Linked DNA regions of Caenorhabditis elegans. The protein of the gene in region 2 purifies or fractionates together with the protein of the main gene of each other region. This does not show direct contact. Each region holds a gene or a part of one and is shown on either strand. Other genes may lie near its edges.

Region 1 (3,391 bases), 8.5 Mb from region 2:
CTTGAGGTCAGGCAGGCAGGCGTTTCAACGCCTACCTGGAAGCCCTATCTTAAATGGCCGGAAATCAGTATTTTTTGGATTTTTCAAAAAAATTGAAAAAAAAACTCCATTTTTTCTGATTTTTGGACATTTTCCGCTTTTTTAAGAATATTTTTCACAAAAATCAATTTTTTGGAGAAAAAACGCATTATTCACTTGAGGGATTTTTCAAAAAAATTGCAAAAAAATTTTTTTTTTTTTTTTTAGTTTTTTCTCAGAATTTTGGACATTTTCCGCTTTTTTAAAGAATATTTTTCACAAAAATCCAAATTTGTGTTCTTTTTTTGGTGAAAAATGCATTAATTGCCCCAAAAAACTCAGATTTAAATTTTTTTTCTTCAAAATTTTGAAGCACTTTTTTTTTTGATATTCCAAAAAATATCTTAGAATTTTGGTAATTTTTCCGCTTTTTATAGGAATTTTTTTACAAAAATATTCTTTTTTTTCTCTTTTTATTCGATTTTCGCGGCAAAATATTCAGAATTTGTGTATTTCCAGTGAAAATTTGCCACAAAATAGCATTTTTCGCATGATTTTTGCAAAAATTGCCAAAAAAAGCGTTATAAACGTCATTTTTTATCTTCTCTCTTCTCGGTGTCATTATTCCATTATTGGATTGACCTCTAGAGCCTTCCCATCGGGCTCATTGACCTCCAGACCGCGATTTTCCCGCGTTTTTGGCTCCGCCTTTTGATCTACCACTGGAAGTGGGCTCAGACTGTCTTAGTAATTTATTCCAACATTATTTCCTTTCTATTATCGTTTTTTTCCCTTTTCCCTTACCCCTTCCCCACAAAAAGACGATGCAAAGACTGCTAAAATCCATATGCAAATTCCAGTGATCATTAGCATTTTTCGATTGTATCGATCACCCAAATATCCGAATAATGGCGCGAAAAACATGTAGAACACAATGAAAACTGTCTGAAATTATTCGGTTTTTAATTAATATTCCACAATTTTATTCAATTTTTACTTGCAAAAGGCCTTGCCCCTTATCGTCGATATCGAAAAATGTTGCAAGCCGCGACATAACTCCCACGATTGTGTATCGATCCATGTAGTTTAGCAGGTTTACGAGAAGCAGAATGGAACAAGTAACCCATTTCTTCTTTCCAGCAAGTCGGGAGGCTGAAAAAATCAAGTTTTTCGATTTAAATAATTAAATTTTCGATTAAAAACTCACCAACGTCCAAACCACTGCCTTCCTCAATTTCATTTGGCATTTAGAATTTCTGAAATTTATTATTTTTTCTTATTTTCTAATAAAAAACCGAAAACCACAAAAAATAAAAAAATACGTGACTAAAAATAACGCAGGCGCGCTCCACCGAACTCGTTCAAACTTGGCGGGAGAATGCTCATATGACGCGTTGCGGTCGCGTCGCGGTCGTTATTTTTTCGAAAACGAAGGCCGTGGCACACTCATTTCTTGTTTTTTCAGACAATTTTTATTATTTTTTCGAAGAAATGCTTGAGAATATTCATTTTTCTAAATTTTACTCGATTCTGGGTTTCTTTTCAGTCAAGTAAATGCAGTAATTTGAAGGATTTTAGGCCCAGTATTTTTTTTATTATCAATAATCTTCAGTCGCCGATTTTTTGCAAATAATCATAATTATTTCTTCATTTTCAGTGTACTAAACATGCCACGCGGCGGCTCAGAGGACCAAAAAGTCTACGTTGGCAACCTGCCAGGAGACGTCCGAGAGAAGGAAGTCGAGGACATTTTCCACAAGTATGGCCGCATCAAGTACGTCGATATCAAGTCAGGACGTGGACCGGCGTTCGCTTTCGTCGAGTTCGAAGATCACAGGTTCGTTTATTGATTTCAAATACTTTAATTAATCAATTTTATTCCAGAGATGCCGAGGATGCGGTTCGTGCTCGCGATGGCTACGAATTCGATGGCCGTCGCATTCGCGTCGAGTTCACTCGTGGAGTCGGACCACGTGGCCCAGGCGGTCGCCCACTCCAAGACGGAGGTGATCACCGCGGTGGAGACTTCCGAGGAGGACGTGGTGGTGGTCGTGGAGGTGGACCTCAGAGAAGAACCGGATACCGAGTGATCGTTGAAGGTCTTCCACCAACCGGGTCGTGGCAGGATCTTAAGGATCATATGCGTGATGCTGGAGACGTCTGCTATGCGGATGTGGCTCGAGATGGAACTGGAGTCGTCGAGTTTACTCGTTACGAGGATGTCAAGTACGCTGTTCGCAAGCTTGATGACACCAAGTTCAGATCACATGAGGTGAGTTTTTACTATTTTTGAAACTATAAAATAAATCAAAAATTGAATTAAATTTTTCTTTTTCAGGGTGAAACTGCCTACATTCGCGTTCGTGAGGACAACTCTTCTGGAGGCGGAAGCGGTGGTGGTGGCCGTGATCGTAGCCGTTCGCGCTCTCCAAGAGCCGAACGTCGTGCTTCGCCAAAGTACTCACCTCGTCGTTCTCGTTCCCGCTCTCGCAGCCGTTCCCGCTCTCGTTCTCGCTCGGCCAGTCGCAGTCCATCTCGCTCACCATCTCCACAATAAAGAGACAGCGTCTGATTCTTGAAACGGTATCGTTTTGCAATTTGAGTCGTCTGACAGAGAGTTCTGATACAACTATATCTTGCTAATTTCTTTTTTTTTGTGCTGTTTCTAATACAATTCCATGCCTCATGTTCTCCTGTTTACACACACCTTTTTCTTTTTATCGATCTTTTTGGATATATATATCCACAATTTCTTCTATTTTTTATCACCTATCCTTAATTCAAACAACCACATCCAAGTATTCATCAGCCCCACCTATTATTATTCAATAATTTCTTTTGTTGGAGGAACCACGAATAAAATGTTTTGTTTCAGCCTCCACTCCGCTTCATTCAAACTATTGGAGGAAAGGAGGAGGACTCTATAAGGAGGGAAACTAAAGGATCGCTGGACGATCAAAAGCGGGGACACACCATATCGATCGAGGATCGAATCGGTTTTTACACGATTTTCGAATCGACACACACACACACACACACACACTAGGACCCCCGGAAAAAGGATTTTATGGGAAAAGTTTTGGATTTGCCCCCTGGGTATTGTTAGGAACATAATTTAGTTAAATTTTGACCTGACGAGAGTAAAAAGAAGGAAAAATTTTACAGTTTTGGGTTCGAAAACCCCGAAATCTATTAGGAAAATCCCCTCGAATATGAGAAAAAACTAATCCGCCATGTTCAGGTGAGCCGGTGACCCGCTTCCCGGCTCACAAAAATGAATCAGCCAGGTGAGTTTCGACTTGGAATTTCGAATAAAAATTTTGAATTTTTGACTTGTGTTTTTACTTTTTTAAATTATTATTGAAAACAGAAA
Region 2 (3,093 bases):
TCGTTCAAAAGCTTCATAATATCAGTTTTTAAAAATTTGGTGCTTTCTGGTGATTCTCGAAGAAAACTGGAAAACTACTTATTAATTCTTTTTTTTAATTAAAAAAAGTGAAAATTCCAAAAATCTGCTGAACTTCTCCACTCACTTATACAATTTTTCATCTTCATCTTCAACCATTTTCGTTGTAACCACAGCATCTGCATCATGAACATGTTCCGAATCATCAAGACGTCCTCCACAAACAGCACAGACACCGTCTTCTAGATGCTTTTTAGGAAGTCCTTCAGGAGTGTAATACTGAAAAATTGGAATTATATTGATTATTTTTCGGCAGCAGGTGAAAAATGTATTTTACCCCGATTCTCGACGCCATTCTCGCCGTGCAAATGTGAGCAAAATCCCGGCCGAGCACTCCGTAATACACACCATAGAACATGAAAAGGATGCCTGGAAGCTTGAAAATTAGATTTTTTCAAAATTTTTCCAAAATTTCTCACCGGCATCCATTAGTGTTGGCTGTGAAACTCCGAATAAAACATGAAATCCTAATAAAGCTCCCATCATGATCAAATATCCAACAACTCCGAGTACATAACTCAGTTTATGCAAAAATAGAAACCATTTGTAGACGAATCTTAAATTATTTCGTTTAATTCGTCTTTTTTATTCTTAAAAACCTTGGTGTTCCTCCACTGATATGTTGAGCCGAGGCTTTCAACCAAATAAAAGCTGAAAAAATGCAGAAAACAAGCCACGTGGCCAGGAATCGATACCAGGATCGGTTGAAACAAACATAAACTGGAATTGTGAGCATTCCTATTAATGTACACATCTGTAAATGTTTGAATATTAAATAAATGTTTAAAATTAATAAAATTAAATACCTGATAAGATTTAAAATGCTTCCTCTTCCAGGTGACCAGAAAAATCTGTCCAACGATGACAGAAATCATGAAAATAACCATCATTTCCATGTGCATCGCTTCGTGTCCTTTATGCTTTTCGTGCATTTTTCGGTGCTCCTCTGCCCATTGTTCTTCTTCTGTTAGCTCGTGTGGAGGGGGCTGAAAATAAAAATTTATAATAGAAATCATTTTACTTTTAATTAAACTATTTTAAAATCAATAAATACTTACCATTCCTTCCTGAACTTCATTCTGCAGCCTAATTGCCCCATGTTGGCCCATTCTATGGCCTGAAAAAATAGAAATTATTTTGGAAAACGTTATTGATTTTTCGAGAAGGTAAAGCGGACTCCCGCGTGGAAAGTGACCAATTTTAAAAATTGAACGAAAAAAACACTTTAAATTCAATAATTGATAAAAATAGTTGAGTTGGTTAACTTTGCGACAAGGAAATGTCGGAGAAAGATTTGCGGTGAAAATCGAAATAAAATAGGAGAATGTCATCTGCGCGCGGCATATCTGCAAATCTTGTGTGCCAGGGTTGCAAAGAACGCTCCGCCCACAAACATTCGAATGCAAATTTTGGCGTTTTGCTTCTTTTTTCTCTTTTTTCTGTATAACCAAACAAATATATTTTATATTATCCCTTTTTAGAGCAAATTTATCTTTTTTTTTCAGAAAAATGAGCAACGGTCAACTCGTGTCTCAGGTGACAGTTGGTCACGATAAACCATTAGATCGTGAGAAAGTATGTCCGATGCTTCTTCGCGTCTTCGTTGCTAATAATCGTCATAATCCGATGAGCGAGTACAATAGTAGAAATGGAGGATCTGTTCCACCCAGCGAACTTCAAATGCATACTTGGTACGCGGTAGAAATAGAAAAATTAGTACTATTTGGCCGAAATTATAGAACTTTTGTCTAATATTTTCAATAATACATTCAAACTTGTAAGTTTGGTTAACCTGAAGTATTTTTTTTATTTTCAGGATGGACTGTTCTCTGCGTGAATTGACCAGTCTAATCAAAGAAGTGAATCCGGACGCTAGAAGAAAGGGCACCACATTCGATTTCGCTATTGTGCAGGCAGACCGCGGCTCGCCAAGATACATTCTACGCGATGTGGGAAACACGACGAATGGAGAGCGTGGCATTGATGACAACAAAACTGTATGTGATTTTTGACACCACGGAACCATTAGAATTTTATTTGAATTCGGAAATAATATCTCCAATATTAAATTCGTTTTGATTGAACTTTGTTTTTCAGCTACAACAATGCAAATTCGAAGTCGGTGATTTCGTCGACGTCGCGATTTCCTTGCCAAGTCAAGGACGTCGTTTCAATAACCGGGAGCAGGGAGACCGTTTCGATCATCGTCAACGCCAACGTAGTCCGATTCGCTAGACGCCTAACTGTGTGTTAAAATTCAATGATACTCTTCTGTATTTATTAATGTGTCGATTCTTTTTTTTATAACGTGCAATGTAATATTCTGCGTAAATCATGTTTTCCTTTACAATTGTTCAACATACTTAACAATTTACAACAAAGTTTACTTTCACATTTACTGGTCAAAATTGCAAGCTATTTAATTTTAAAAAAGTTTTGTTTTGTGATTATGCAAAAATCGGAAAAATGATCGCGATCAAACTGCTTTCAGCGAAAACTAAAATTTCTTCTCGAATAATTTATTGCTTAATAAATGATAATGGACGGGGGGTAGAGCAAGTAAGATTATTGAAAATCGAAATTTCCAAAAACGTTCTAATTGGAAGTTTCTTTCGCCTTCGAAAACTCCTAATAAGAAAGTTGGAGGAAATTCGCACAGAAAAAAAGGCAGGTAAAACAGGAGTATCTACTATTCAAACTATGTGTCAATGTACTCTACTCTAGATTAAATTACAAAAGGATTCTTAGTTGAAATTATAAAAACATAAAGGGGAATACGATACAATTATGGGGAAAAATGTAATAAAGAATGTTCAGAAAAACAAAAGCATGGGAATTTAAGTACTTGTATAGAGAGTAGGTATAGGGTAGTGGATAAAAAATGTTGGTAATATGTAAAGGGGGTGAATACGTGACAATAAAAGAGAGAATCTCGGGATTACGCCCAGAAGTTTCGCTTCGGAATGGTCATTCCGTTCATTGCAACGGACATCTCATCAACAATGGCTGCCGCCA
Region 3 (4,468 bases), on a different chromosome or scaffold from region 2:
AGTATATTTTTTAAATCGAACATTTCAGTCAATCAACTCGGAACAAAGAGAGAGATCGTTGGATTATCCACTGCTGTAACACCATATAACGCAGAGTTAATATCTAACGAATGCGTTAGAATAACCATCGGAGGAGTGGTGCCAGATGGTGCGGATACTGTAGTTCCGATTGAAAATGTAGCTTTATTGAAAGAAGAAAAATGTATCGAAGTTTTGAGAAAACCTAAAGAAGGCGACAATATAAGGCAAGCTGTTCATATATCAAATTCCATATTATAATAGTAACTATAATAAGCTACACACATAGATCGAAATTTCATTAGCCATAAACATTATTTACTGAAATATTTCAGAGAAGTAGGATCAGAAGCTAAAACTGGTGAAATTTTGCTGAAAGATGGTCATCATCTAGATACTATGTCAATTACTCTTCTTCATGCTCTTGGAATTTCTCAAGTTGAAATCTACAAGAAACCACGAGTATGTGTTCTATCAATTGGAAGTGACCTAAACTCGAATAAAATGTACGGAAGCTTCAACCGCTCTCAACTACTAGAACTCTTCCAATCTCAAGGTTTTACGGCAATTGACGCTGGAAGTTCAACTGAGCATATTACTGAAGTTGAGGAAAAAATACGAACGGCTGCAAGTTTTGCCTGTGTGCTTGTGACTGTTGGAGGAGCACAGGTGATACGGGAAGTAGCTAAAACGTTGAAATTCAAAGTGAGATCTATAACGATACTTAAACCTGATAGTAAAACATAAACTGTATTTATTTTCAGTTTGAGATTCAAGATGTAGACTCAACTCCAGGAAACTTCACCGTTTCGACTGGAAAGATTGATGAAACCCCTGTAGTGCTTTCAATTTTTCCAGAATATCATGTTTCATCTTGGATTGGAGCAAATCTGTTTGTTTCACCAATTTTACGTGCAATGGAAGGGCAAAATTCTGAAACAAGCCATAGGTTCAAAGCTGAACTGACACAACCTATATCGAAAACGTCGGAGACAAGATTTTTGCGAGCTCGAAGCGAAGTTTCTAAGGGAAATCTAATTTCAACACCACTAGGCTGTGAAGATATCTTTGGAGCTAATTCGATTTTAGAAGTAAAATCCAACACTTGTTTTTCGGCCGGAGACGTGGTTGATCTACGCTTTGCATGAAAATTCACCAGTATCAATATTTCCTTTTTTTTTGTTTTTACTCGGTGCTTTTATACCTCCATTCTGATATGATCTGTAACATGTTTCACTTTAAAAACATCTAATTTTCAATGATATTTCATAGAATTCAATTGAAATAAATTCAATGTCTACAATTGTCGTGATTTCTGGTTAAAAGGTACTGGTACACCGCAGCGTGTTTGCGTACTTAATTGATTTCCATTTTTTTCACAACGAAAACGCGGCATTTTGAGCAGATGTGTTTGCAAAAAAGAGTTTCTATTCGTTTTTTTTGTTTGAAAGAACAAAATTACCTTTTTTAATTTCAATAAATAGTAGTTATTCTGTACAAAATCTTCCAAAACATGGCGTTTTCTTCGAAAATTCAAATTTATTTAGAAAAATTTAGAAAACTGGAACTGTGACAGTTAAAAATTGTGTTTCTTAATGAACATTTAATTGGCATGATTAATTCGTTTTTGATATATTTGTATTTATTCTATCAATTTTTCTCTCAAAGGATTATTTTCAGACTGAAAATGGATCAAATGTTAGTTGAAGAGCTTGAATCCGATATTACCGCTGCCAGAGACAAACTGAGGAGTATTGATGACAAAGTGACTACTTTGAATGGGAGGTTTGTATTGATTTCTTCTTTTTTTCAATTCAGAACTTGGAATTTCAGACCACCACGTCAGCGCATTTCATACAACGAGGAACCAGAAGAAGCTCCACTGAGAAACGTTGGCCGTGATGCTTTTGGACTGAAAGATGAAGCTAGTGCATGGAATACACGGAAGGAAATCGAAGCTCCTGGTGGGGTCCGTAAGAGGATCAGGTTTGTAAAAATCGGACTTGTAGAAGCGTGATTTAAATTAATATATGTTCAGCGTCGGTGATAGAACAGATCGCAGAACTGGTGGCCGGCAAAGCTTTGACAATCAAAAACGCCAACGCCCAGATTATTTGGAGAACGAGGCGGACGAGGAAGAATATGGAAAACGCCAGAAAAGAACAATCCAGTCGACTGTTGTCATGCCAGCTCTTGATTCAAAAGGAAGAGAAGAAAAAATTGAAAAATTGAAAGAAACTGAGAATAAAGACAGTAAACAGAGAAATCGTCGTCTATTTTCTAATCTGATAATGGGAACTTTGAGTTCTTTCAAAAAGACTGAAAAGAAAACTACTCAGCAAGAAAAGCAAGAAGAAGTTGAGAAAAAGCTTGAAGAAACCAAGAAGAAGGATTTCGAATCGGTAAGGTTAAAAAAATGAAAGTTTAAAAATTTAGTTTTTTTCAGAGAAAAGAAGAGAAACACGATCTCCTCAACAAACGACGCGAGCAGGAGAAGGAACTGAAAAGTCTTCAGCGAAAGAAAGCATTGATCCAGTACGCCGAACACCATGCCAATCAATTAAAGCTTATGAAGGGCTGGATAAAGACTACGACAAGCCCACATATTTTCTGGCAACCGGTCAAGCATACCGTTCGATCGTTGGAGTTGAAGCAAGCCACGGAGAGACAACTCGATGGTTAGTTGAAACTAAATTTTTATTAATGATTTAAATTATATTAAAATTTTATGTTAAAAAATTACAACATCACGAGTCGAATTTCGCATTTCAAAAGCGATGCCCGAAATAACGAAATTTCATAATGACTCGAAGCATTTTCAAAAATCTTGTATGATGGCCAAAATTTCAAAAACAACCAGGTTTTGCTAAAATCTGAAATTTGGGCAACTTGCCCTTGTCACAGAAGCTGAAATTCAGTTAAAACACTTTTGTGGTCTTCCTTTCTGAATTTTGTAGTCGCTTCCTCGTATTTTGGCTCTACATTTTTCAATGAAAACACTGCTCTTTGGAGAATTTAATCGTTTTCTATTCATTTTTCTGTAAAAATTGTTTTAAATCAGTTTTCAGTACAAAACACTTTTCCATTTTATTAACTGATTTAAGCTTTTTTTAACAGAAAAAAATGACACAATTCGCCAAATGTTAATTATTTTTATTGCAAACTGGAAGGAAAATGAACGAGCAATTATGTCGAAAAAGTTGAAAAAAATTTTTTTTGCACTCTGAGACACATCCGAATAAATCCGTGCGCCTTTAATTAGGCATGCCAAGATCTCGTGATATTATTACGATAATAAAAACATTAACTTTTGACTATTTATAAAATATAAATATTCTTTTTTGTAGATCAAATTGCGGATCGCGAAGAACAACTGAAAAAGGATCTCGAAGATCGAGTGAGACAAATATCTGAAGAACGTGGTGATCACAAGCAAGACGAAGACGATGAATACGAGGAAGAAGACGAGAAGAATGAGAACGAGGATATTGTAGTTGTTCTAAAAACTGAGGATGATGTGAAGGCAGAAGATGATGAGGAAAAGGAAGATGATATTGATGTCCATGTGGAGCTTGATTGATTGGTTGTGAGGTTTCAGGTACCGACTGTGCTGTGTGTCAATGCGAAGCTTTCAAATGGTCATCGTATTTTTTATTTTTAATGAAATTCAGGTATCTCCGTGAAAGTGTAAGTTTTTGTAACACCTTAATCTCCTCGTTCTCCAAAATAATTACTCTCTTCTCTTTTCACAAGTTTTAAATTGGTTATTTTTGCTGTTTTGTTCTTTTTTGACCGTTCTTTTGATCTGTCTATTTTGTTCGCGACAGATAAAAAAATAATAAATATTTATTCTAGCAAAGTCTTTGAAAGGAGAAATCTGAGAAAATTGAGATCAATCTAATACTCGTCATTGTCAGGGGTTTGATGAAATGATGATGAATTGGTCACAACTTTTTTGAGGGAAAAAATGGCTATGAAACAACTAGATTAAGGTATGTGGCGGTGTATGGTTGTTGGATACAAGTGGTGTATTTTCCATATTCTTCCGTTGCGTTGGTCCATTGGAATTTCGAACCGGAGCATGTTTTACCTGAAAGTTTGAAATACACGAATGCCTCCCCTAGAATATTTTACTTACATGCTGAGCAACTTGATCCATTGAGAGCACTCCTCGTCTTTTCTTGGGCATCTTTGAACGAGCTTGTGTATGGGAATAGAACATGGCGAAGTTAGAGACGATGACCTTGAAATTAAAATTCAAAACTGGCAACATTAATTTGAATAATAAATGGAAAACATACTGGAACTGGCAAAGCGATTGTCAATACACCAGCGAGAGCACAAATCGAACCAATCAGGCGGCCCAGATATGTATGAGGTGTTATGTCACCATAGCCAATTGTTGTCATTGTGACGATCTGGAAATTGGAATTTTGTTCTGATGTTTCAT

Evidence for each region.
Region 1: the proteins of C16C10.4 (region 2) and rsp-3 fractionate together in Caenorhabditis elegans (co-fractionation; one large-scale study listed by BioGRID). This does not show direct contact.
Region 3: the proteins of C16C10.4 (region 2) and pnn-1 fractionate together in Caenorhabditis elegans (co-fractionation; one large-scale study listed by BioGRID). This does not show direct contact.

The regions. Positions count from the first base shown.
Region 1 is NC_003281.10:12,686,201-12,689,591, reverse strand, and holds rsp-3 (putative splicing factor, arginine/serine-rich 3), read left to right. Parts: upstream 1-1,675; 5' UTR 1,676-1,685; coding exon 1,686-1,855; intron 1,856-1,902; coding exon 1,903-2,290; intron 2,291-2,356; coding exon 2,357-2,575; 3' UTR 2,576-2,891; downstream 2,892-3,391. Other genes in the region: spin-4 (Major facilitator superfamily (MFS) profile domain-containing protein), read right to left, coding at 823-963, 1,016-1,170, 1,226-1,265. UniProt on the Caenorhabditis elegans protein: Plays an essential role in embryogenesis.
Region 2 is NC_003281.10:4,169,753-4,172,845, forward strand, and holds C16C10.4 (putative histone deacetylase complex subunit SAP18), read left to right. Parts: upstream 1-1,583; 5' UTR 1,584-1,587; coding exon 1,588-1,769; intron 1,770-1,894; coding exon 1,895-2,075; intron 2,076-2,175; coding exon 2,176-2,313; 3' UTR 2,314-2,471; downstream 2,472-3,093. Other genes in the region: E3 ubiquitin ligase rnf-121, read right to left, coding at 146-297, 356-447, 498-634, 678-832, 885-1,064, 1,137-1,187; Argonaute protein hrde-1, read right to left, coding at 3,017-3,093. UniProt on the Caenorhabditis elegans protein: Acts in transcription repression. Involved in the tethering of the SIN3 complex to core histone proteins.
Region 3 is NC_003283.11:12,969,412-12,973,879, forward strand, and holds pnn-1 (Pinin/SDK/MemA protein domain-containing protein), read left to right. Parts: upstream 1-1,698; 5' UTR 1,699-1,705; coding exon 1,706-1,803; intron 1,804-1,851; coding exon 1,852-2,004; intron 2,005-2,056; coding exon 2,057-2,420; intron 2,421-2,464; coding exon 2,465-2,696; intron 2,697-3,365; coding exon 3,366-3,598; 3' UTR 3,599-3,869; downstream 3,870-4,468. Other genes in the region: lin-46 (MoeA N-terminal and linker domain-containing protein), read left to right, coding at 29-245, 354-723, 783-1,166; shw-3 (BTB domain-containing protein), read right to left, coding at 4,001-4,108, 4,157-4,261, 4,320-4,436.